Linked DNA regions of Caenorhabditis elegans. The protein of the gene in region 1 purifies or fractionates together with the protein of each later gene. This does not show direct contact. Each region holds a gene or a part of one and is shown in the gene's direction. Other genes may lie near its edges.

Region 1 (6,422 bases):
GTTCAAAGAATGCTCTTGGTCTGGAGATTCTTTAAAAACAAAAATCCAAAAAATTTCTATCGTGGTATTTCTGTACGGACTGTGGCAGTAGTTTAGGTCTTGAATGACACAGTCGCCAGAAAGATGGATGTGAGCGGCGGCACCAGTATTCATTTTAGTACTTTTTGGCACGGTTTGACCTGAATTTTCAGAATTTTTAGAAAAAAATTAGCTCTGCTGATTTTGTGGGTCGTTACGCCTTGTGAAACCAAAAAAACTGAGTAAATTTCGGAAAGTTTAATTCATGAAATATTCAAAGGTTCTTGCTAGGCGCCAGTGTCGACACAGAAAATTTTTATATGCTACAAAAACAATCAAAAACGCTTCTTCATTTCTTTAACTTTCAATTTAACATAAAAATCATACATCTGAAAATTATTGGCGTGCGTGGGAGGTGCGTTTGTGTGGGAAGTGCCGCGTGCCAAAATGCCGTTTTAAAAAGGGTTCGCCAAATTGCCGAGGTGATTAAAATCGCACCTTATTGGGAAACATTACAAATTTTGGGTCAAATTGAAGGAAATTTATTCAGCTATCAGTATTCGATAGAAAAATGTACGTATGACGTGGCAGTCGCGCGAAAATCTCATGTAAAAGAGCGCTTCATGTGTTACCATACTTTTGGCCCACCCTGTATGAACATGGGTTCGTACCATGGAACCACAACGAAAATGACCAAAAGTTCCATATTTTTGAAGTCCCACAGAAAGCTATTTATTTTCTACCAGTTGTTGCATTACGTTTTGATTATTTGTATTTGAGCATTGTGTTGTCAATATTATAAGAATCATACCATTTCCACACACACACACACACACATTTTACATAAATAATTAGCTAAATTTATGTAAATTCTCTTGATAATTTACAAAAAGAACGAGCAAAATCGGTTATTCTTATTATTCCTGACTCGTATCGAGTACTCTTTCTACTATAATATTGCTCTTGGTTTGGACATTGTGGAGAACACAACAATAAGCAAGAAGATTGCCATAATCAGGTAAAACTAAGGCTGCAAAGGGGGCCTCTTCGATTTTAAGATATAACTGAGTTTTTTGAAAAATCTAAAACGTTTAAGGTTGTCCAGAGCAAAATTTGCATAAACATTCAACAACTTCACTATCAGTTTCAAAAAAAGTTGATTTTTCTCGTAATTTTTTTTCATTCATTTTACAACATTTCCTGAATGCAATTTTATTTATAAAATCTGCCACGAAGCAGCCACCGTTCGTAAGAGACACCTCACAAATGTGAGAAACGCAGACAAAAAAGTCAAAGGCACGCCGACTTTCCCGCTGTGGTCTCGATACGATCGGGGCTTTCTGAGTTGGCGATGGATGCGCCTCTACCTTTTGAGTGTTCTATCGTTTCGCCAACGTATCTTTTGATGAATTTTAAGATTTTCTTCTAAAAAAGATTAATTTCGGTTGATTTAAACATCTGAATTCTAAAAATCCAGAATATTATCGATTTTTGAATGTTCTTTCGGTTTTATTTTATTTCTATAAGCTGACTATTTGCAAATCTTCCTCTTCGTGCTCAGCTTAATTTTACATTGAGTTTATTTATTTTAGCTTTTTTTCAGAACAAGATGCCTCTCCGACTTGATGTAAAAAGAAAGCTTCTGGCTCGTTCGGACCGCGTGAAATGTGTCGACTTGCATCCAGTCGAAACATGGCTTCTAGCTGCTCTTTACAATGGAAATGTTCACATCTGGAATTACGAAACACAAACGCTTGTAAAGTCATTTGAAGTAAGCTTTTTTTCAAATTTATGTGCAAACTTCATGAAATTACGAAATAACTGAATCTAAATTTTGCAGGTGTGTGACGTACCAGTTCGTGCAGCGAAGTTCGTTCCAAGAAAGAGCTGGGTTGTCACGGGATCTGACGATATGCATATTAGAGTTTTCAACTACAACACATTGGAACGAGTTCATCAATTCGAAGCACATTCTGATTATCTCCGATCGCTCGTTGTTCATCCAACACTTCCCTACGTCATTTCATCATCCGACGACATGCTTGTTAAAATGTGGGATTGGGATAACAAATGGGCAATGAAACAGTCATTCGAAGGGCATACTCATTATGTCATGCAGATTGCCATCAATCCAAAAGATAATAACACTTTTGCAACTGCTTCTCTTGACAAAACTGTCAAAGTATGGCAGTTCGGATCGAATGTTCCGAATTTCACTTTGGAAGGACACGAGAAAGGAGTCAACTGTGTCGATTACTATCATGGTGGAGAGAAACCATACATTATTTCTGGAGCTGATGACCATCTGGTCAAGATTTGGGATTACCAAGTAAGTTTTTTTTCTCTTTGCATTCATCCAAAATGATATTTTCAGAATAAAACGTGTGTGCAAACGCTCGATGGACATGCGCAAAATGTGTCTTCAGTTTGTTTCCACCCAGAACTGCCATTGATAATCACAGGATCCGAAGACTCCACTGTTAGATTGTGGCATGCAAACACCTACAGGCAAGAACATTAAAGTACGATTTCCACAACAACAATTTAAAATTTTTAGACTGGAAACAACCTTGAATTATGGGTTGGAACGTGTTTGGTGCATCCAAGCTCAAAAAGGAGCCAACACTATTGCCATCGGATACGACGAAGGTTCCGTCACGTTGAAATTAGGCCGAGAAGAACCAGCAGTCAGTATGGATTCGTCTGGAAAGATTTTGTGGGCAAAGCACTCCGAAATTCAGCAAGCTAACCTGAAGACAATCTCAACTGAAGAGTCGGAAGCCATTCAAGGTTTGGAAAACTTTCATTCGACTTTTGTATAGTTCGGCACATGTTTTCTGAAAGTATTAAAAAAAGAGAAATTGTGTTCATTTATTATCACTCTAAGACAGTTCATTTACAGATGGAGAACGTCTGCCGCTTTCTGTAAAAGATCTCGGATCTTCTGAAATCTATCCACAAACCCTTGCTCATTCATCTAATGGACGTTTTGTTGTCGCTTGTGGTGACGGAGAATACATTGTTTATACTGCAATGGCTCTCAGAAACAAGGATTTCGGACAAGGACTCGAGTTTGTCTGGGCTGTTGATCCAAATATGTTTGCTGTCCGTGAATCTGCCACCAATGTGAAGATAAAGAAGAACTTCAAGGATCACAAGTCAATTCGTTCAGATATGGTACTTGAGGGAATTTCTGGTGGACCACTTCTTGCCTTGAGGTTTTTGAACTCTTATCAATTGACTTTTATTTAATTTTTTGTTTCAGATCGAACAACTCTTTGTGCTTCTTTGATTGGGAATCAGCCGTTCTTGTTCGTCGTATCGAAATTACTTCCAAGAGCATCTATTGGAGTGACAACGGAGAGATGGTCGCAATTTGTGGAGATGATTCATTCTACGTTCTCAAGTACAGTGCTGAAGCAGTTGCCAATGCAACAGAAGTGACCGAAGACGGTATTGAAGACGCGTTTGAGGTTATTGGAGAACAGGCAGAAGCTGTGAAGACGGGATTCTGGATCGGGGACTGCTTTATTTTCACCACTGCACTCAATAGAATCAACTATTATGTCGGTGGAGAAATTGTCACTATTGCTCATGTTGATAGACCACTTTATTTGGTGAGATTTTAAAACATGCGTTGTTCTTATCATTTTTAAAACTTAAATATTTTAGTTGGGATACATGGCTAAGGAATCTCGAGTCTATGCCGTCGATAAGGATCTCAACGTGATCTCATACAAACTTCTTCTATCTGTTCTTGAATATCAAACTGCTGTAATGCGCCGTGACTTCGATACTGCTGACAAGGTACTTACTACAATTCCAAAAGAGCAGAGAACTCGTGTTGCTCATTTCCTCGAAAAGCAAGGATTCAAGAAGCAGGCTCTTGCGGTCTCTCAAGACCCTGATCACAAGTAAGACAATTTTCAGCTTTTCAGCAATAATTTTGGAACGTTTTCAGATTCGATCTCTCGGTAGCTCTTGGAGATTTGAAGACTGCCTACGATTTGGCACTGCAAAGCGATTCAGAAGAGAAATGGAAGGCTCTCAGCAACGCCGCCACTCTTAAGTCGGAACTTCTTCTTGCTGGTGAATGTCTTGGAAGAGCTCGCGATTTCGGAGGTCTAATGCTTCTTGCAACGTGTGCCGGATCAGCTCCTCTTCTTCAGAAACTTGCGGATGACTCTGCTGCTGCCGAAAGCCACAATATCAGCTTCCTCAGTAGTTTGCTTCTTGGAGATATTGATGCTTGTCTAGACAAACTTATTTCGACTGGTCGCCTCCCAGAAGCAGCGTTCCTTGCTCGAACACATGCGCCGTCTCGAGTTTCATCTATTCTTGAATTGTGGAAAGCCAAGGCTTCGGGACACAGCGAAAAGAGTAGCAGAAAGATTGGAGAATCTCTTGCCGATCCAGTGAAGTATGAAAACTTGTTCCCTGGATTTACCCAATCACTGAAAGCAGAATCTTTCGTTCGTGAGATCTCCAAGATTCCAGTCCCAGCATCCGTTCGAGTGCCATCAGCTGCTACCCGGAATATTCAAGAGGAATTGGATGAAGCTGTTGCTTCGGGAGCAGTTTCTTTTACTGATGATGGCCAAGCAGTACTTAAGAATGCCCCAAGACAAACCGAGACACAATTGAAAGCTCCACCTCCTCCATCAGTTGCACGTCAACCCTCGCCTGTACGCCAGCCATCCCCTATTCGTGAGCCATCACCGATCCGCGAACCTGAACCTGAAGAAGAGGAAGAACAGGAAGAATTCGATGATGATCAGCAAGAGGTGCATGTTCCAGCTGTACGTTTTGAACAGTTTTTTATTCATATGGAATTTGACTATTCGTTGCTAGAATCACCAATTTATTTTCAGAATCAAGAAAGTGCCGATGCTCATGGAACATCTAAAACTCCTGATGTTGTTCTTGAGACAAGCCGGCCTGATATTGTCCCACCACGGGGGTCCGCCGCTCCAGATTTGGTTTCCGCGTCTTCACAACAATCTGCTCAAGATGTAAGTATTTATTTATAAATGTTTTGAAAATTATATAAACTGCGAAAATTCAATCAATTAATCCAATTACAGTTCCAAGATGATACGCAATGGTCAGATGAAGATTTTGGAGATGCTGAAAATGGAGACCTGAATATGGACGATCTAAATTTAGACGAGGAAGATTGACTGGTAGTCGATCGATCTGCCCAACAAGATCAGAAAGACTGAGTATCAGTGTTATTTTTTTGTGTATGTAATTTAAGCCCCCCCCCCCCCCCCTCCCGTCCTATCAATGTCCCCATTCCATCCGTAATTTCATGCACAATTTTTTGACGAATGATTCAGAGCAGATCGATCGATAGATAATTATTTTATTTTTCATGTTTCACCCCAAAAAGAGGTTTTTTTCTAACCCATCTGGTGTCGGTCACTCTCTAACATTCTTTGGGAAATTGTTAATTAGTATTATGGGAATGTGATAATGTTTTTCTTATCAAATAATTATGTAATTTATAGTGTTTTTGGCGCACTCGTCTTTTTTTGTGATTTTTATTTCTACTGGTCACTCCTGTCGTAAGCTCCCTTTGCCAACTATCCACCCAATTCATCCCTCCCCGTTTTCATATTTCTGCCTTCAAAATCACATAACTTATTGAATTTTTATGTTTATCGCCCTTTCTGATTTATAAGTAAACACTAAGTTATTTCCAGCTTTTTTGTGCGGTGTTTTTTGTATTCTAGGGGTTTTCTTCGAAGTTTTGTTCTATGGCTTTTTCCACTTCTACTATCATCCTCCCCAAAACTTTCGTGTTAACGAAAAAATGATGTAATGAGAGTTTTATTGATTGAAATGATTTTTTTTTCTTTTAACCGTGTTTGAATAAACGGAACAGAAAGTGTATGTGTGGCTGATCAGGAACAATTTGTAGATATTTATGTCTACACAAGTGATAATCAAAAGGCACTTCAAAAAAGGAGCAAAATGATAAGAGGCGTCGAGCCGATTTCAATACGGAAAAAGCGTATTCGGCGACAATCCGATACGATTTTTGGCACGGAATCCCATTTGACGAGGTTGAGCCGAAACTGAACGAGCTTCTCTTTCCATTGGTGGCTCTTCAGTATGTCTTGAAATTCGTTCGGAAGATTCGCTTCGCCGCTTGTTTAATGTTTCCGACTCGACGCCACCCCGTCAACTGTCTCGTGGTTGGCTTTGTTCTTTCTGAAATGATCATGATACTATAACAATATGATATAACATGTCGAAATTTTGTGAGATTTCTTTAAATAACCTAGTTTTTCAGTTCTCATAAATGTTTATTTTTGAATCTACACATTTCACATTTCCTTGATTTTTTACGATCCATCACTCATACGAAAACATGTGATTAATTTTGTCCCGCTTTCTCA
Region 2 (5,387 bases), on another chromosome or scaffold:
GTAGATTCTCTTGGTATTAATGAGCAAGAGCTCACATTCCTGTCACATATTGCAAATGGACCACATATGGAAGAATATCCGGTACAAGCTGGAACCGTTCATGTGCACAAAGTTGTAGAGATGCTCCATTGGCTCTTGAAGACATATGGAAGAGATCCCACTGGACAAATTGCGTCGAAAACTGGATACCGGCTCTCTCGAATTCATTTCCATTGTCTCACGTATCACATTATGGTATCTTCTGGAACAGATTGGTCTAATCTTGCTGCTGGCCTTGCTGCCGGAGCCAGAATCGCTGGTCGATTGTCATGTAATATTGGAGCAAATACGATGGATTCGGAGCTGCTGGAAATTAGAACTCCGGCGAATTTTGTGTTGGATAAGAAGATTGAGAAGAATTATCAATTTGAAGCTCATAAGTATGTGAAAAGAGGAATCAATTGAGAGAAAAACACCGAATTAAAAAAAACACCAAAAAAGCTTTTAAGTTATCAAAAATCAATATTAAACTGAGAGTAGAATTTGTGGGTATTTTGCGTAAATAGACTGAAACTTGTCCAAAACCACCTAATTTCATAATGAGACTTCACAAAAAAGTTGCCCAAAACGTTTCGGGTCAAAATTTCAAAAAAAAAACCAAATTTTGCTAAAATCTGGAATTTTTCCCACTTTTCTTTGATTGTAGGTCGGGTTACTGTAATAGTAATGTAGGGGTACTGTAGGAGTACGGTAGGATTACTGTAGTTATGGGGGAAAAAGTTGTGTTCCTTTTCCTTATCAATCTGTTTCCAGCCCAATAGCATCATGGATGCGTGAAGATGTTCTATTCGTGTTCACACCTGTTCTTGTATGCCGTTTACCATCAAAAACCGTCGGAATTGATGATGCAATTTCTGCTACCGGACTTCTTTATTCACAATTTTATCGCTTGAATAGACCCACTCATTGGTAGACTTTCACATGGTGTCGGGTTATCCCATCACGGGTTGATGTACAAGAAATGCGGGATTTCTGCGTCTCGCTCACCGCATTTTTGTAGATCACACCGTGATGGGACACTCTGACACCACGTGTACTTTATTGTAAAAATTTGTTCATTCTCCCCATTTTTTGCCATTTTTTTCATGTATTTTCTCTTTTCCCCCCAAAGATTCTGTGAATTTTGTTATGATTATGTGCCTGTAATTTTTGTAAATGTAAATAGTAATAAATACCCTTTTTTTTCTAAATTTTGAATTTTGTGGTTTTCTCCATTTTTTCTATTTTTTTGCGATTTCAGGTAGTCTCATCAAAAAATTGACGATTTTTAGAAAAAAATCAAATATTTTTTTGAAAATTTTTAGACTTTTTGATGATTCAAAATTCTTATAATTTTTGGATCGAAATTAATGTTTATGTAAGTAAATTTTTGAAGTTTGAAAAACGGTATATTTTTGAAAATCGAAAAAAAATGTTTACAAAGCCTCAAAGTGCAGTACCGAAATCTCAGATTTTGCTTTTTTAGACCCAAGTTTTTGATTCCAGTTGAAAATCAACATTTTTTCCAGAACTTTGAACCGCCATAACTTCTTTTTTGTGAAATTTTCAAAAAGTCTTATTAGTTTCGGTAGTTTTTCGGTAGTCTAAAATGTCCGTCTAATCGGTAGTCTCGGTAGTCTATCGGCAGTATGAAAATTTTTGGGTAGTTTCGGCACTCGGTGGTCTAGTTTCGGTAGTCTAAAAAAGCAAAGTGTCAGATTTCGGAACTCCACCTTATGGGGTTATTCAAGTAGTGTCGGAAAATTAAAAAGTGTAGAAAAATTACGTCACAACTGTATTCAAGTATATAAGAAAAAACAAAAATGTTTTAATTTTCAAAAAAAACAATTTTTTCAGATGCTGACTCCATTTAACATAGCTCGTTGCTCCACACGACTTATTCGAAGAAAACCTCCAGGAGGTGGGATTCTGGATGAAGGAGTCACATTTTCAGATGTTCACAACGTAATTCTTAATCCAACGACACGGCTACCGTACCCAGAGGAGCAACTTCGTGAGCATATTGAAAAGACGTCAAGTGAAATTATGAAGGAAAGGAATAAAATTCGGTAATTTTGGTTTTTTTTTGAAAATTTTGAAATGAAGGAAATTCGAAAAAATTTAAAATTTTATTATTTGATTTTTTTCTCGGAAAAATCATGCAAAAAATAGTTTTTCTTTTTTAAATTTTCGAAAAATAACCGGAAATTATTAAAAATGTGGCCAAAAATGTACATTTTTGGTTTTTGAATTTTTTTCATTAAAAATAATTTAAGATCGAAATACCGATGAGCCTGGTACGGATAAAATAGGCAATTAAATTTTTCTTTTTTGAAAATTTCTGAAGTTCGGAGTTTTTGTTTTCAAAATTTCAAAAAAAAATTTTTTTCAAAAATTCAAATTTTTATAGAAAATCAACTCTACGATCGTTTTCGCTGTATTTCCGAATAAAATCACGTTCCATCACTTATTTTCCGTCTTGAGAGTACTAAGAATCAGATCGTTGAGATCGATGCACCATAAGCTTTGTCAGCCCATATATCGGTTAATTTTGATTTTTCAAGATACGGAACGCGCAAGAAGAAAGACTCTGGAGCTATTGATTTCAGTCAATTACCCATCGAAGAGCACGTCGTTCTATTATTTCCGGGACAAGGAGCACAATTTGTTGGAATGGGTCAAAAGGTGTTAAAGTAATAATGTTCGGCGCAATTGTTCAATTTTTTATTTCTACAGGTGATGGATATTCCAGCGGCACGGCGAGTTTTCGATGAAGCATCCGAAGTTCTAGGATATGACATGCTCAAAGTTTGTCAAGATGGTCCCAAACAGAAGTAATAAATATTATTCTCTGAAAAAATTAGAAATCTTTATCAAATTGTGCTCATGGTGAAAAAATACCGGCAAAAATACGTTTTTTGCCCGATATTATCTAATTTTCGATTTTCAAACAGTACTATTAATGCTTCTGGAATCGCCAAGCATATTTTCAAAATCAGGAGTGGGTGACAATTGCCGTTCGGCAATGTGGTTGTCGACAAATTTGGCAATTTGCCGATTTGCCGAAATTTTTCAATTCCGGCAATTTGCCGATTTGCCGGAAAAATCGTTTGCCGCCCACCCCTGTTCATAATATTGTCTGAAAAAATTTAAAAAAATTGCAGACTTGAACAAACACTTTACTGCCAACCGGCCATCGTAACGTCATCAATAGCAGCGTTTGAAGCTTTAAAAGCATCAGATCCGTCAATCGAAGAAAACCTGACTGATACAGCTGGATTTTCAGTCGGAGAATATGCGTCACTTGTTGCCGGGAAAGTTTTGAGCTTTTCAGATGGTAATTTGGTTTTTGTGTTTCTTCAATTCTTCTAAAATTAGACTTTTCCAGCTATCAAGATCGTGAAAACCAGAGCCGAAGCAATGTCAGAATGCGCGAAACTGGTGAAGAGTGGAATGGTTACGATTCGAGTAAAAGCTGCATCGAAATTGGATAAGGCAATGGCAGATGCCAGAAAAGTGGCGGCGTAGGTTTTTTCTCACAAAAATTTTCAAAAAAAACCTGCGGTTTTTGCAGGAAGAGTACAAAAAACCCGACGGAAATCATAAAAATTGAAAATTTTCAGAAAACTATTTTCCAACATTTGAAACTACTTTTATCGAAAATAAATTAACTTTGATGCGAAAAAATAAATTTACTTGAAAATAAACTAAATCGGCAAATTTCCTGAATTGAAAATTTCCCGCAAATCGGCACTCCGGCAAATTGCCGGAATTGCACATTTCCGGCAAATCGGCAATCGCCGAAAATTTCCAGCAAACCGGCAAATTGCCGGAATTTAAAATTTACGGCAAACCGGCAATTTACCGATTTGCCGGATATTTCAACAAAAAAACCTGCCGAACGGCCACCCAAACCCTGATTGTTCAAATTTCCAGTGAAAACCGAGAGCTTGTTGTATGTGAAGTTGCCAACTATCTGTATTGCGGTGTCCGAGTAATTGGCGGATCAGAAACGTGCCTAAAATATTTGGAAGAAAATCAAGAGAAATACAATATTCAAGTGATGAAGAGACTTGCAGTTTCGGCAGCTTTTCATACACGACAAATGGAGTCTGCCGTCGAACAGGTGTGTGCTTCTTTGCTATTTTCAAAAATTAATAACTTTTCATAGTGGTACGGTAGAAGTACTGTAGTTCAAGAAAAAATAGTTCTCATCCCCAGAAGTCGGGGCTGCGCCGGAGGTACGGTTCATGGCTGGTTAACAGAAAAATATTAAACAGAACCTGTATTTTCCGATAAAGTTGTTTTTATAAGCTTTCCTCATGTTTGTGTTTTCAGGTGGCAAAAGCTTTCCAAAACGTGGAGATTCATCGTCCGGTGTGCAATGTCTGGTCAAATTATAGTGGAAAAGTGATGTCATCGAAGAAGGGAGACGTTCGTGGAGCTGTCGCCAAACAAATCAATTCACCGGTTCGATGGGAACAGATTCAACAATCGCTGTTCAGAAAACATCAGGTAAATTTCAAATTTTTCGTGGTACTGTAACTTCAACGCCCCAAAACACATTTTCTTGCGCGCTGACTCAAATATGGTGAAGAATTTGGATTTTTCACATTAAAAAATTTCAGAACGAAGCATTCCCCCGCTTCTACGAAGTCGGTGCAGGACGTCAGCTCGGTGCGATGCTTTTTCAAACATCGAAAAAGGCTCACAAGAATTATTCACATTTCAGTTGCTGAATTGATTTTTTTCATTGTTTGTGTTATATTTATGTTAGCCTTATATATTATGTTAGCCTTATATTTATTATAGTTTCAATTGTTGAAAATATAAATTTCAGGATAATGAGTGCCCGTTTTATTCTAAAATCATTCAACAAACAACTTTTTATTTTTGCCCAATTCTTTTTTCAGCCATCTGTCCTTTTTTTTGGGGGGCAAAAAAATTCTAAAAATGTTTGAAATTATATTAAATTGAAAAAGGGCCATTTTTAAGGGTTCGGAGATCAATTTTGAGTCCTCTAGCTAAAAAATGAACCATTTTAGAGAAGTTTCAAAAATGTTATTTTTTGCCACTTTTAATAGTTTTTGATGGGTTAAACTTAGATTTTTTGGATTAAACATGTATGAATTACCCGTTCCCTACAAAAATAAACAACTTTTTATTTTTGCCCATTTTGATTTTTCAGCCATCACATAATGACTGTCCTTTTTTTTTGGGCAAAAAAATAATTTTTCTAAAAATGTTTGAAACCATATATTACCATGAAAAAAGGCAATTTTTTAGGGTTTGGAGATCAATTTTGAGTCCTCTAGCTAAAAAATGAACCATTTTAGAGAAGTTTCAAAAATGCTATTTTTTGCCACTTT
Region 3 (4,757 bases), on another chromosome or scaffold:
TGTAAATTATCACATTTCAAAATGCGGCCGGGTCTCGCCACGATTTGCCCGCCGCTGTGTCACGGGGTACGGTGGATGGCGAGAACCACGTCACTGTGCGAGAAATCTAGATTCCAATCTTTTTCCGGCGATTTACGTGGATTTTTGCCGGTTTTCAGCGGATTTTTTCGTTTTTTCGTGGGTTTTTGAGGTTAAAAATTGATTTTTGAAGCTTTTAAAGCTATATTTCAGTCGAAAAAGCGGCAAAAATCGATAAAAAACAGGTAGAAAGAGTGAAAAGTGACGTGGCGTTGAATTAGGTCAATTTAAATCAATTTGTCGTTGAAAATTGGGTTTTACAGCTTTAAAGCCTAGATTTCTGTCAAAAAATCAATAAAAACCAGGCGAAATGAGAGAATTTTGTGAAAAATCAAGTTTCGCAACTTTTTCCGTAGTTTTCTGTGGATTTTTGCGATTTTTTTCCATTAGAAATTCGATTTTCTGTGTTTTTTGCAGAAAAAGTTACAGTTTTTGCTGAAAAATGCGATTTTTTCAGGCAAAAACGACAAAAAATCCCATTATCAGCAGAATTTTGGTGGTTTTCTCAGTATTTTTTTCTGAAAAATGCAATTTTTTCAGCCAAAACTGGCAAAAATTGCATTATTAGCAACAATTTGTGTGATTTTTCAGATTTCTAGCTGAAAAATGCAATTTTTTTCAGCTAAAACTAACAAAAATCGCATTTTTTGTGGATTTTTGCAACTTTTCGCGTTTTTTTTTCCATTAAAAATTAAGTTTTAAGGCAAAAAAAGCGAATTTTCGCGGGGTTTTACCACAAAAAAAAACCGAGGGAAAGGCGAATTTTGCATACAATTGTCCAAAAAATTGAATTTTTTCAATTTTTTTACAAGAACAGTCAGAAAATTTGCATTTTTAGTAAAAAATTTGGCATTTTTTACTGAAAAAATGGAAAAAATCGATTGAAAATGGGGATTTTTAGCCGAAAATTTGGAAATTTTCAGTAAAAATCTGATTTTTTTAGCTTAAAAACCGATATTTTTCGATTTTTAAGCTAAAAAATTGATTTTTTCAGTGAAAAATGGAAAAAATCGATTGAAAATGGGGATTTTTAGCCGAAAATTTGGAAATTTTCAGTAAAAATCTGATTTTTTAGCTTAAAAACCGATATTTTTCGATTTTTAAGCTAAAAAATTGATTTTTTCAGTGAAAAATGGAAAAAATCGATTGAAAATGGGGATTGTTAGCCGAAAATTTGGAAATTTTCAGTAAACACCTAATTTTTAGGTTAAAAGCCGGGATTTTCCGATTTTTACGCCAAAAAACGGAATTTTTGACTAAAAAATCGGGTTTTCAGCTGGATTTCGAAGAGTTTTAGGGTTAAAAATGGTCAAAAATTCAATTTTTCTGATGTTTTTGATTTTTCTGATGTTTTTGAGCATTTTTCATGCTTCAGAGTGATTTTCTTGTCATTTACAGCGTTTTTTGATGATTTTTATCCATTTTCTGACGTTTTTGGGCATTTTTCATGCTTAAAGGCGATTTTCGGGGGTTTTCCAGCGTATTTTGACGATTTTTATTCATTTTCTGGCGTTTTTCGATGATTTTCGATGATTTTTCACAGAAAAATGCGATTTAGCTGGAAAATTCAATTTTTTCACAAATTTTTTTTTAAAACGTGAACTTTCTCTACTTTTTTCTTTCTTTTCCCCACAAAAAACCCGAATTTCCAGCTCCTCCACAATGAGCTCCGGAGAGCAACCATGCTACACACTCATCCACGTGCCCAGTGACGCTGAGCTCCCATCAGAAGCTCAATTGAAGGAAAAATTCGAGAAAGGAGGCGATAAAGAGCGAATTGAGGCGCTCAAAAAGCTCATTTACATGATTTTAAACGGAGAAAAAACGTCGCAGAGCATGCTAATGTACGTCATCCGCTTCTGTCTTCCATCCAATGAGCACACCCTTAAAAAAGTGCTCTTGATCTTCTGGGAATGTGTTCCGAAGACGGATTCCAATGGAAAGCTGCTCCACGAGATGATTCTGGTGTGCGATGCCTACCGAAAAGACCTTCAACACCCGAATGAGTTCGTTCGCGGTTCGACCCTTCGGTTTTTGTGCAAACTCCGTGAGCCCGAGCTTCTCGAGCCGCTTATGCCGGCGATTAGAGCTTGTTTGGAGCATCGGCACTCGTATGTTCGTCGTAACGCTGTCTGCGCGATTTTCACTATTTATAGTGAGTTTTTTTGGGCTTATTTAGGCCTGAAATGGGCTTGAAAATGCGAAAAATGACTTTTTTCCAAGAATTTTCACCTTTTATTGCATATTTTACGTTATTTAGTTGATAAAAGGTACATTTATTGCAAAAAATCGCATTTTTAGCTGAAAATTGGCGAATTTTTCAGCCAAGAACGGCTAAAATCGCATTTTTAGCCGAAATTTGAGGGTTTCTTAAGATTTTTGATTTTTTGCTCCAAAATGCGATTTTCTAGGCTCATTTTCGGTGAAATTTGCGATTTTTTGCGAAAAAATCCCTTTATTAGCTGAAAATTGGCGAATTTTTCAGCCAAAAATGGCAAAAATCGCATTTTTAGCCGAAATTTGAAGGTTTCTTCAGTTTTTTTTGGTGAAAATTGCGATTTCTCATGTTTTTTGAGCTGAAAAATACGATTTTTTACAATTTTTATGCCAAAAAACACATTTTTAGCTGAAAATGCGATTTTGTCAGCCAAAAATGGCAAAAATCCCATTTTCAGCTAAAATTTGGGGTTTTTTTTTCAGTTTTTTTGCTGAAAAATACGATTTTTCATGATTTTTCAAGAAAAATCACATTTCCAACGAAATTCTGACTATTTTTCGCTGAAAAACGGCAAAAATGCCAATATTCAGCTGAAAAATGAGCATTTTGTCTGATTTTTGTTGCCAAAAATCGATTATTAAGCTGGAAGATGGAAAAAAAATTCGACTTTTTGATGTTTTAAGCTAAAAATACGTAAAATTTCGTTATTTTAAGCAGAAAAATCGAATTTTTCAGGGAAAAACCTGAAAAACTTGCAGATTTCCAGCTAAAAATGTCATATTTTCTGCAAAAAAACCAGGAAAAATCGTATTTTTCAGCTAAAAATGCGAGTTTGGTCTTGAAATGCACCTTAATTAACGAAAAATCAATGGAAATATGCAATAAAAGGTGAAAATTTGAGAAAAAACCAACTTCGGGACCGGAAAATTGACCAAAATTAATGATTTTAGCTAAAATTAGGTGATTTTTTCGCATTTTTTGATCATTTTTTCCCCGTTTAATCCAAAAATCCCGCTTTTTTTCCAGAAAACTTTGAATTCCTGATCCCAGACGCACCGGAGCTCGTCACAGAATACCTTGAACAGGAGCAAGATGCTTCGTGCAAGCGTAACGCTTTTATGATGCTCCTTCACGTAGATCAAGCTCGTGCTCTTGACTATTTATCGGGATGTATCGATCAAGTCGGATCTTTTGGAGATATATTGCAGCTCGTTATTGTTGAACTCATTTATAAGGTGCATTCTGTGGAAAATTGACTGAAAATATCGATTTTTTGAGAAAAAACCCGTAAAAATGGGGTTTTTTTCGTTGAAAATCGAAGAATTTTCATTAAAAACGGCGATTTTCAAGAAAATTGCGGTTTTTTAAGGAAAAATCTGACAAAACCCTGTAAAAATGGGGTTTTTTTTTTTGTTAAAAAACGGAGAATTTCCATTAAAAACGGCACTTTTTTTATGAAAATTAACTGAAAATGTGAATTTTAGAGTAAAAAAGCTATAAAAATGGCGTTTTTTCGTTGAAAAATGGAGAATTTACATTAAAAACGGCGATTTTCAAGAAAATTGATTGAAAATATCGATTTTTTGAGAAAAACTTGTTAAACAGGCTATTTTTGTTTTAAAAAAACGGAGAATTTTCATTTAAAACGTCGCTTTTTATGAAAATTGAATGAAAATATGAACTTTTAAGCAAAAATCTCAGAAAAATCGTGAAAATCTAGAAATTTCACTATAAAAATGTGTGAAAATCGATTTTTAATTTTAAAATTAACTAAAAATTGGTTTTTTCAACGAAAATACGATAAATTTATCGAAAAATATGATTTTCCTCCAATTTTAACCGAAAAAACTGAAAAAAAATGGCCGAAATCATCCAAAAACTCCAATTTTCTTTCAGGTTTGCCACAATAATCCAAACGAGGCTTCCCGATTCATCAGATGTGTCTACAATCTTCTTCAGTCATCATCACCAGCCGTTAGGTGAGGAAAATCTTGGAAAAATGACGGATTTTCCTGGAAAAAATGGACAAAAAATCGCCAACACCATAAAAATTGTGCGATTTTAGCGAAAAAACTGGAAAATTACGATTTTTAGACCCCAAAACCTTAAAAATTCAGCGATTTTCTCGAAAAATAGCCTGAAAAAATGAAAAATGTTGAGTTTTTTTTTTTCGAAAAAAATGCTCCAAAACCTGGAAATTGTGCAATTTTTTCGTTAATAAGCTGAAAAATAATTAAATCTTTATTTTTTCTTGAAAAACCTATCAAAATTCTCAAAAAAATCGAGTTTTAGACGCCAAAAGCCCCAAAACCGTGAAAATTTCGCGTTTTTCTGAAAAAAAAAAAGATAAAAAGTTAGAAAATTACCGTCTTTAGACCCCGAAATCTTGAAAATTCCGCGATTTTTGTCAAAAAAAAATAGGCGAAAAATCAGATAATTGCAGTTTTGAGACCTCCAAAAC
Region 4 (7,843 bases), on another chromosome or scaffold:
ACATTTTATTTTTCTATCAAATTTTCTGTTCTAAACTCAGAAATTTCCAGGAAGTCTGCCAGAAGATGTCGTTCTCCGTGAGCGCCGCCGCCAAGTCGGAAATCCTTGTCGACACACACGGATCGAAGAAGGTGGTTACATTGAATAGGCCTAAAGCGCTAAACGCGTTGAACCTCGAAATGGTACGAGAGTTTTATCCCAAACTTCAAGCCTGGAATTCATCTTCCGATGTGGATCTTGTCATTTTGAAAGGATCCGGTGATAAGGCGTTCTGTGCTGGAGGAGATGTTCTTGCCGTTGTGCGATCTTTCAAAGATTCGGAGAGTGGAAAAGAGTGCACAATGCACAAGGATTTCTTCCGCGAGGAGTACATTTTAAATCATTTAATTGGAACTTTGAATAAGCAATACGTTTGTCTGATTGATGGAATTGTGATGGGAGGAGTAAGTTATCTGCAACTATTTTCTTTTCAATTTTTTAAAAAACTTGTTTCAGGGTTGTGGTCTTTCTGTAAATGGACGTTTCCGAGTTGCCACTGAGAAAACAATGCTAGCAATGCCAGAAACCGCACTTGGACTCTTCCCAGACGTCGGTGGATCCTATTTCCTTTCAAGGCTCAAGGGAAACCTCGGAATGTACTTGGCACTCACTGGATATCGTCTTCTAGGTGCTGACGCTTTCCATGCTGGTCTTGCCACTCATTTTGTGGAGTCTTCGGAACTTGCGAAATTGGAAAAGGAACTTGTGAATATTAAGGATGTGACAGAGAACTCTGTCGATGAAGTCATCAGATCGTTCGAGCCAAAGAAGATTCCAGAATTCAGTCTGTCCAAGAATTTGGCTCAAATTAGAGATTCCTTCAAAGCAAAGTAAGATATTTTGTCACCAAGATCACGTGTATTTGAGTTGGAACAAATTAAAAAGTAGCATTTCATCGAATTGATTTATTATTGTTTCTCAGATAATATTAGTTTTAAGCAAAAACTAGGAAAGGGCCAGTTTTGAGGATTCGATAGCACACAAAAAATTACATTTGCCTAAGATATATAAAATAATTGATTTTTCAGAAGCGTCGAAGAAATCCTCGCAAGCCTCGAAAAAGACGGATCCGACTGGGCAAAGAAGCAAGCAGCCACTCTAGGAAAAATGAGCCCAACTTCCCTGAAAGTAACTCACCGACAAATCACCGAAGGAAGCAAGATGAGCTATGCAAAGATCTTCACAATGGAGTATCGTCTCACTCAACGATTCCTCGCCGATAAGGATTTCCATGAAGGGTGCCGAGCCAGTGAGCAGAGATTTTGTAGGGTTTCATTGAAAATTTGACTCATTTTTCAGTTCTCGTTGACAAGGATCGCAAGCCAAAGTGGAATCCAGCGACGTTGGCTGATGTGAAGGATTCTGTCGTCGATAACTATTTCTCGCCATTGCCAAATAATTCTGATTTAAAATTGTAGAGGCCAGAATTAGCGGAAAATTGAATTTTTAATGGAAAGCTAAAAAATCAGGGAAACCCATAATTTTTATCGGATTTCCTCGTTTTCCTATCTTTTCACCCAAAATGTTGATTTTCCCCCATAATTTTTACCATTTTAATAGGAACCCCTTATGTATTTATTTTTAGAAAAATGTCTAGCTATAATTTAATTTTTCCGGGTGTACAAATAATTTCCGTGCCTTTTTCAGCTATTCGCCGTATGAATATAAAGTTTTTTTTTGTTTTTGAATTTTATTTCCAGATTTCTATTGCAAACTGTTATTTTCTGTTTTTGTACCTCTTTTTCAAATAATTTTTATTCTAGAATTTCAGATTTTCAATACCAATTTTCAGATGACAATTGGCCAAGTGAACGGCCGCGCTCGCATAAAATCCGAGTGCGGCAAGGATCAGAAATGCATGCCACTCGAGGACAAATGGCTTCTCGTTCCCGCGTTTTTGAAAGTTCGAGGACTCGTCAAACAGCATCTCGTCAGTTTCGATCATTTCGTGCAGGAGGAGATCCGAAGTATCATGCTCTCCAATCAGAAGATCACTTCCGATGCAAATCCAAACTTTTATCTCAAATATTTGGATATTCGAATCGGAAAACCCAGCAGTGAGGAGGGTCTCAACATGACTCACGATAAGATTACCCCTCAAGAATGTCGACTACGAGATATGACCTACTCGGCGCCAATTTCAGTGGATATTGAGTACACACGTGGTAATCAAAGAGTATTCAAGAAGGATCTGATCATTGGTCGAATGCCGATTATGCTTCGTTCGAGTAAATGTATTCTCAGAGATCTTGCCGAAGAAGAGCTTGCAAGAGTTCAAGAATGCCCATATGATCCAGGAGGTTATTTTGTGGTCAAAGGAAGTGAAAAGGTTATCCTGATTCAAGAACAACTCTCCAAAAATCGTATTATGGTTGGAAGAAATTCAAGTAAAGAACTGCAGTGTGAAGTACTTTCGTCGACGTCCGAGAGGAAAAGTAAGACATATGTGACTATGAAGAAGGGTAAATATTCTGTTCGCCACAATCAGCTCACCGATGATGTACCAGTTTCCATCATTTTCAAGGTAAATTTTGAGAATTTTGATGACAACTGAAAAAAAAAATGTTCGGCATTCATTCCTAAATATTTTATTTAAAAAAAAAAACATCCAATACAAAAACATTCTCCGAAAAATATTTTTCCAAATTTTGATGCAAAAAATATTCTCAAAAAATGTTTTAGAATAAAAAATAATGAAGCTTTCTTTCTTTCTGATTGTGAGAAACTGAACATTTTACGATATTTTCAATCGAAATTCCTCAAAAACATTTATTATCGAATCTGGAGTTTTTCAGATTTTTTTTTCCAAAATTCGAGTTCGCTTTTTTTAATTCAAGAAAATTATTACAAAAAATAGGGAAAATTTTAAAAAAAGTGTAGCATTATGTTAAAACAAAAACTAAAAACCGCTTCCTTTTCAAAGTTTCAATTTTCCAGGCGATGGGAGTCGAATCAGATTTTGACATTGTGAGTACAATCGGTCACGAGGAGAAGTACGTTTCAGCATTTGCTCAAACTCTCGAAGAATCCATAAATGCCGGAGTTTATACCCAACAGCAGGCACTCGCATATGTTACCTCAAAAGTCAAGGCTCGTAAATTCACACCATTCGGATCACTTCCAGGAACTTCAGTGAGCGTCTTGACTCCACCGAAAGAACACGAAGCAGTCGATTTTCTGTCCAATTCAATGATCACACATATTGCTTGCCCAGATGGAAATTTCAAAATGAAGGCGATTTATTTGGGATTAATGACAAGACGACTGATTCAAACGGAACTCGGAGAAAATGGGCTTGATGATCGGGATTTCTACGGAAATAAACGTTTGGAGCTCGCTGGATCATTGCTTTCGTTGCTGTTTGAGGATGTATTCAAAAGATTCAACTCTGAACTGAAAAGAATTGCAGACAATGCGTTGATGAAGACAATGGCTGCACCATTGGATATTGTGAAGCATATGAGACAAGATATGATTACGAATACTATAGTGAATGCTATGTCGACAGGAAATTGGATTATCAAAAGATTCCGAATGGAACGACTTGGTGTTACACAAGTACTAAGTAGATTGTCATATATCTCAGCACTTGGTATGATGACAAGAATCAACTCGACTTTTGAGAAAACTCGAAAAGTCTCTGGTCCTCGATCCCTTCAACCATCTCAATGGGGAATGCTTTGTCCGAGTGATACTCCTGAAGGTGAAGCTTGTGGTCTTGTGAAGAATCTCGCTTTGATTAGTCACATTACAACTGATTCCGATGAGAAACCCGTTCTCAGATTGTTACTCAATTCGGGAGTCGAGGATTTACATAATGTGCATTTCTCGCATGTCAATAAGCCGTGAGTTTTTACAAATTAAAATTTTAAGTGTGAAATCTTGAAAAATAAAAGTTTTGAGAATGCTAGTTTTGAAAAAATCGCATATTTTAATCAATTTTTATAAATTTCTAAAATAAATTATCAATTTCATAAAAATTAGATTTCAAATCGAGTTAAGGTTTGACAATTTTTGAAAATTACTAGATCCATTTTTTTGTGTTTTTTCCTAAAAAAAAGGTTATTTTTATCGAAAATTTTCAGTGAAAACACGTTGATCTTCTTAAACGGAGTGCTCATTGGAACAGCTGTGGATCCAGAAAGAGTGGTGAAAGCCGTCAGAGATTTGAGAAGGTTTCAACAAAAAAATGTTGCCAAAAAATTCATCGAATTTCAATTTCAGAAGTGGACTCCTGTCAGAATTTGTTTCAGTATCCCGTTCTCTAACCAATCGTTCTGTTTTCATTTCATCAGACGGTGGCCGCCTGTGTCGACCATATATTATTGTCAAAAACGGAACTCCAATGCTCACACAGGCTCACGTGCAGGAACTGAAAGAGGGAAAAATGATTTTTGAGGATTTTGTTGATGACGGAATTGTCGAATATTTGGATGTAAATGAGATGAACGATGCGTTGATTGCCGTTTATGGGAGAGAAATTGGCCCAGAAACTACACATTTGGAGGTACGTTTTTGAACTTTGTGAATCTAAAAATGAAAAAAATTAAATCGAAAACTGGTTGTTCTTTCCTGTAAAGAAAATTCAAAAAATTTGGTAAAATTTGTCTGAAACTTAAAACTATGTGAAAAAAGTTTAAATTCTCATTTTTTTAAATATAAAAAATTGAAAATCAAATTATTTAGAGCTCTAAAATTCTATAATTCAAGGAAATTCCAACATTTAAAGATTTTTATCCTTAGTTTAAAATAAAATTTGCACTTTTCAGTGTCTGAGCTATTAATAATCTTTCAAAATTTCCAGATTGAGCCATTTACTCTTCTTGGAGTGTGTGCTGGTCTTATTCCATATCCACATCATAATCAATCTCCACGTAATACTTATCAATGTGCTATGGGTAAACAAGCAATGGGAACAATTGCCTATAATCAACAGAAAAGAATTGATTCAATTATGTATCTTTTATGTTATCCACAGAGACCACTCGTTAAGTCAAAGGTTCGTTAAAATTGAAATATTTTAAAATTTATGAAAAAAATTTGATTAAAAAATGCATGTTTCATTTATTGAACTAATGTTTGTGGAGAGATATCGTTAATAATCCTGAAAATAAAAATAAATCAATTTCCTGAATTCCGAAAAATAAAAAAATCAAATCGGAAGTATCCGCTATATCTTTCTAATCAATTATTCTATTCAGAAATTTTTAATTTGTTTTTCTTTTAGAAAATTATCAATTGTTCAAACTTTTTACATCACAATTTTCCAGACAATCGAACTGACAAACTTTGAAAAACTGCCGGCCGGCGCGAATGGAATCATCGCAGTGATGTCATACAGTGGTTACGATATCGAAGATGCTCTTGTGCTCAATAAAGCTTCACTGGATCGTGGTTATGGTCGTTGTCTGGTCTACAAACATGTGAAGGGAACCGCCAAAAAATATCCGAATCAGACATTCGATCGTCTTCTAGGACCAGCATTGGATCCGAACACGAGAAAACCAATTTTCAAGCACAAAAATCTCGATCAAGAGGGTATTGTATTCGCCGGAGCACGTATTATGCCGAAACAGACGATTATCAATAAGCACATGCCAGTTGTCAGTGGAGAAAGTGGTCCTGGAGCGTCGGCTTCTGCCAATACAAGTATGTTGAAATGAGCATGACGAATTTGTATAAGGAAAATAAAAACGGAATGTACAGTTTCGAGAAGACATCTATTTTTTTAAAAGTTTTACGAAAAAAAACACGAAAAATATAAAAAAAAAAGAATAATAAACAATTCCCAGACCAACCTCGTAAAAATGAAAGCGAGTTTTCAACAGAAACCCTGTTTTAAAACTTTTTCCAAAAAATCTGAAGTATTTATAGCATTTTTTAATTTTTACCAATTAAACAAATGTTTTAAAAAAAAACTCAAAGAAACTGTCTCCGTTCTTTTTTGCGAATATAAATTTTCTAACTTTTTTACGTTCACAATTAAATAAAACTTGACATTTATTCCGTTCAAATATTCAATTAATTTAATTTAAAACGAAAATTTAAATATAAAACTCTGAAAAAGTAAAAAAAAAAACGTTCACTAACAATTCTTTAAATTTTCAGTCGGAATCGCTGGACGCCAAGTTGACTACAAAGACGTCTCGATCACGTATAAAACTCCAACTCCATCATATGCGGAACGAGTTCTTCTTACCTATAATGAAGATGAAGCTCATTTATTCAAAGTTCTTCTTCGACAAACCCGTCGGCCAGAACTTGGAGATAAATTCTCATCTCGACACGGACAAAAAGGAGTATGCGGATTGATTGCTCAACAGGAAGATATGCCATTTAATGATCTTGGAATGGTGCCAGATATGATTATGAATCCTCATGGATATCCATCTCGAATGACTGTCGGAAAATTAATGGAATTGTTATCTGGAAAAGCTGGAGTAGTGAATGGAACATATCATTATGGAACAGCATTTGGTGGAGATCAGGTTAAAGATGTCTGTGAAGAATTGGCTGCTTGTGGTTATAATTATATGGGAAAAGATATGCTGACAAGTGGAATTACTGGACAACCATTATCTGCTTATATCTACTTTGGACCAATCTATTATCAGAAGCTCAAGCATATGGTTTTGGATAAGATGCACGCCCGTGCCAGAGGACCGAGGTGTGGAGAGATTTTGAATTTAGATAATGTCTTGTCTGGAAATTCTGAATTTTGGAAAGAATTTTCAATTAAATATTTAAAAATTAAGTTTAGCAACAAAATCTGAAAAAGAAAAATTTTTAGAACAGTTAACTCTGCATTTTCCAACTTTCCTTTAAAACTTTTGATGTAAAACAATGAGGAATTGCAACATTTTTTTAATTAGAAAATTTGGTATCAATCAAAATTCACTTATTTTTATCATGGTTAAAATTTCGAAAAAAGCCAAATTGAAAAAGTTCTGAAAAAGGAATTGACAAAATGCTCGAAGCTTAGGAAATTAGGGGAAAAAAGAATCAATTTTTCATAGTGGAAATACATTTTTTTCAAATCCAATTCGCGGAAATGTTATGCATATTTTGGAACAAAAAAAACCATTTTAATTTTTCTCACATTTTTTAAATTAAAAAAAAAACTTTTTTTAAAAATTTTTTTCAATTTATTCTCAGAGTTTCTTTTAAAAATCTATAAATTTTCAGAGCCGCATTGACTCGCCAGCCAACAGAAGGAAGATCACGAGAAGGAGGTCTACGTCTTGGAGAAATGGAACGTGATTGTCTCATTGCCTATGGAGCATCGATGCTGCTTATTGAGCGTTTGATGGTGTCATCAGATGAGTTTAAGGTAAATTCCCTTACCGAGTTTTTTTTAAAAGTTTGCTACTTTTGTGTGTGTGCGCGCAATTTTTGCTCATCATTACACTAGCCGTAACACTCTCAAGTGGTTCTTTTTTGCGAAAATGAGGAGCGAAACTGTTGCGGGAGAGACTGGGAGAAGCCTTGCGTGGGTTGACTTTGCGGGTCGACTTTTCTTGGAAACTGGGTTGACGTTTTTTGGAAAGGTTCTTGAAAATTTTTGATTTACCGCAGAGAAAATTATGGATTTTGTTTGATCATGAGAGAATACATTTCCCGACTTTTATCTGAAAATATCGAAAAAAAAGGTCGGAAACCGATTATTAATTTTTTTTTGAACTCCCACTTTTTTATAAGAACAGAGAAATCGATTTTAAAAAAAGCATTTTCCCTAAAAACTTTTTAAAAAAAGCAAAACTTTCTATTTTAATGGCTCTGAATCTCTGTTGCTCGGAAGTTAAAA

What was found.
Region 2: the proteins of copb-2 (region 1) and mcat-1 fractionate together in Caenorhabditis elegans (co-fractionation; one large-scale study listed by BioGRID). This does not show direct contact.
Region 3: the proteins of copb-2 (region 1) and copb-1 fractionate together in Caenorhabditis elegans (co-fractionation; one large-scale study listed by BioGRID). This does not show direct contact.
Region 4: the proteins of copb-2 (region 1) and rpc-2 fractionate together in Caenorhabditis elegans (co-fractionation; one large-scale study listed by BioGRID). This does not show direct contact.

Annotation. Positions count from the first base shown.
Region 1 is NC_003282.8:9,458,110-9,464,531, forward strand, and holds copb-2 (putative coatomer subunit beta'), read left to right. Parts: upstream 1-1,621; 5' UTR 1,622-1,627; coding exon 1,628-1,789; intron 1,790-1,858; coding exon 1,859-2,347; intron 2,348-2,392; coding exon 2,393-2,526; intron 2,527-2,575; coding exon 2,576-2,808; intron 2,809-2,920; coding exon 2,921-3,236; intron 3,237-3,283; coding exon 3,284-3,635; intron 3,636-3,690; coding exon 3,691-3,932; intron 3,933-3,979; coding exon 3,980-4,817; intron 4,818-4,889; coding exon 4,890-5,030; intron 5,031-5,102; coding exon 5,103-5,198; 3' UTR 5,199-5,911; downstream 5,912-6,422. Other genes in the region: F38E11.6 (Adenylate kinase), read right to left, coding at 6,205-6,234. UniProt on the Caenorhabditis elegans protein: The coatomer is a cytosolic protein complex that binds to dilysine motifs and reversibly associates with Golgi non-clathrin-coated vesicles, which further mediate biosynthetic protein transport from the ER, via the Golgi up to the trans Golgi network.
Region 2 is NC_003280.10:88,008-93,394, reverse strand, and holds mcat-1 ([acyl-carrier-protein] S-malonyltransferase), read left to right. Parts: upstream 1-1,875; coding exon 1,876-2,087; intron 2,088-2,582; coding exon 2,583-2,703; intron 2,704-2,754; coding exon 2,755-2,852; intron 2,853-3,182; coding exon 3,183-3,355; intron 3,356-3,406; coding exon 3,407-3,542; intron 3,543-3,954; coding exon 3,955-4,144; intron 4,145-4,356; coding exon 4,357-4,533; intron 4,534-4,646; coding exon 4,647-4,757; 3' UTR 4,758-4,866; downstream 4,867-5,387. Other genes in the region: C50D2.7 (putative ADP-dependent glucokinase), read left to right, coding at 1-419, 793-952.
Region 3 is NC_003280.10:3,077,066-3,081,822, forward strand, and holds the start of copb-1 (Coatomer subunit beta), read left to right. Parts: upstream 1-1,730; 5' UTR 1,731-1,740; coding exon 1,741-2,233; intron 2,234-3,322; coding exon 3,323-3,531; intron 3,532-4,192; coding exon 4,193-4,275; intron 4,276-4,757.
Region 4 is NC_003281.10:5,555,534-5,563,376, forward strand, and holds the start of rpc-2 (DNA-directed RNA polymerase subunit beta), read left to right. Parts: upstream 1-1,831; coding exon 1,832-2,563; intron 2,564-2,976; coding exon 2,977-3,884; intron 3,885-4,124; coding exon 4,125-4,214; intron 4,215-4,263; coding exon 4,264-4,546; intron 4,547-4,843; coding exon 4,844-5,038; intron 5,039-5,309; coding exon 5,310-5,688; intron 5,689-6,147; coding exon 6,148-6,706; intron 6,707-7,224; coding exon 7,225-7,369; intron 7,370-7,843. Other genes in the region: hach-1 (3-hydroxyisobutyryl-CoA hydrolase, mitochondrial), read left to right, coding at 51-443, 496-869, 1,068-1,288, 1,339-1,457.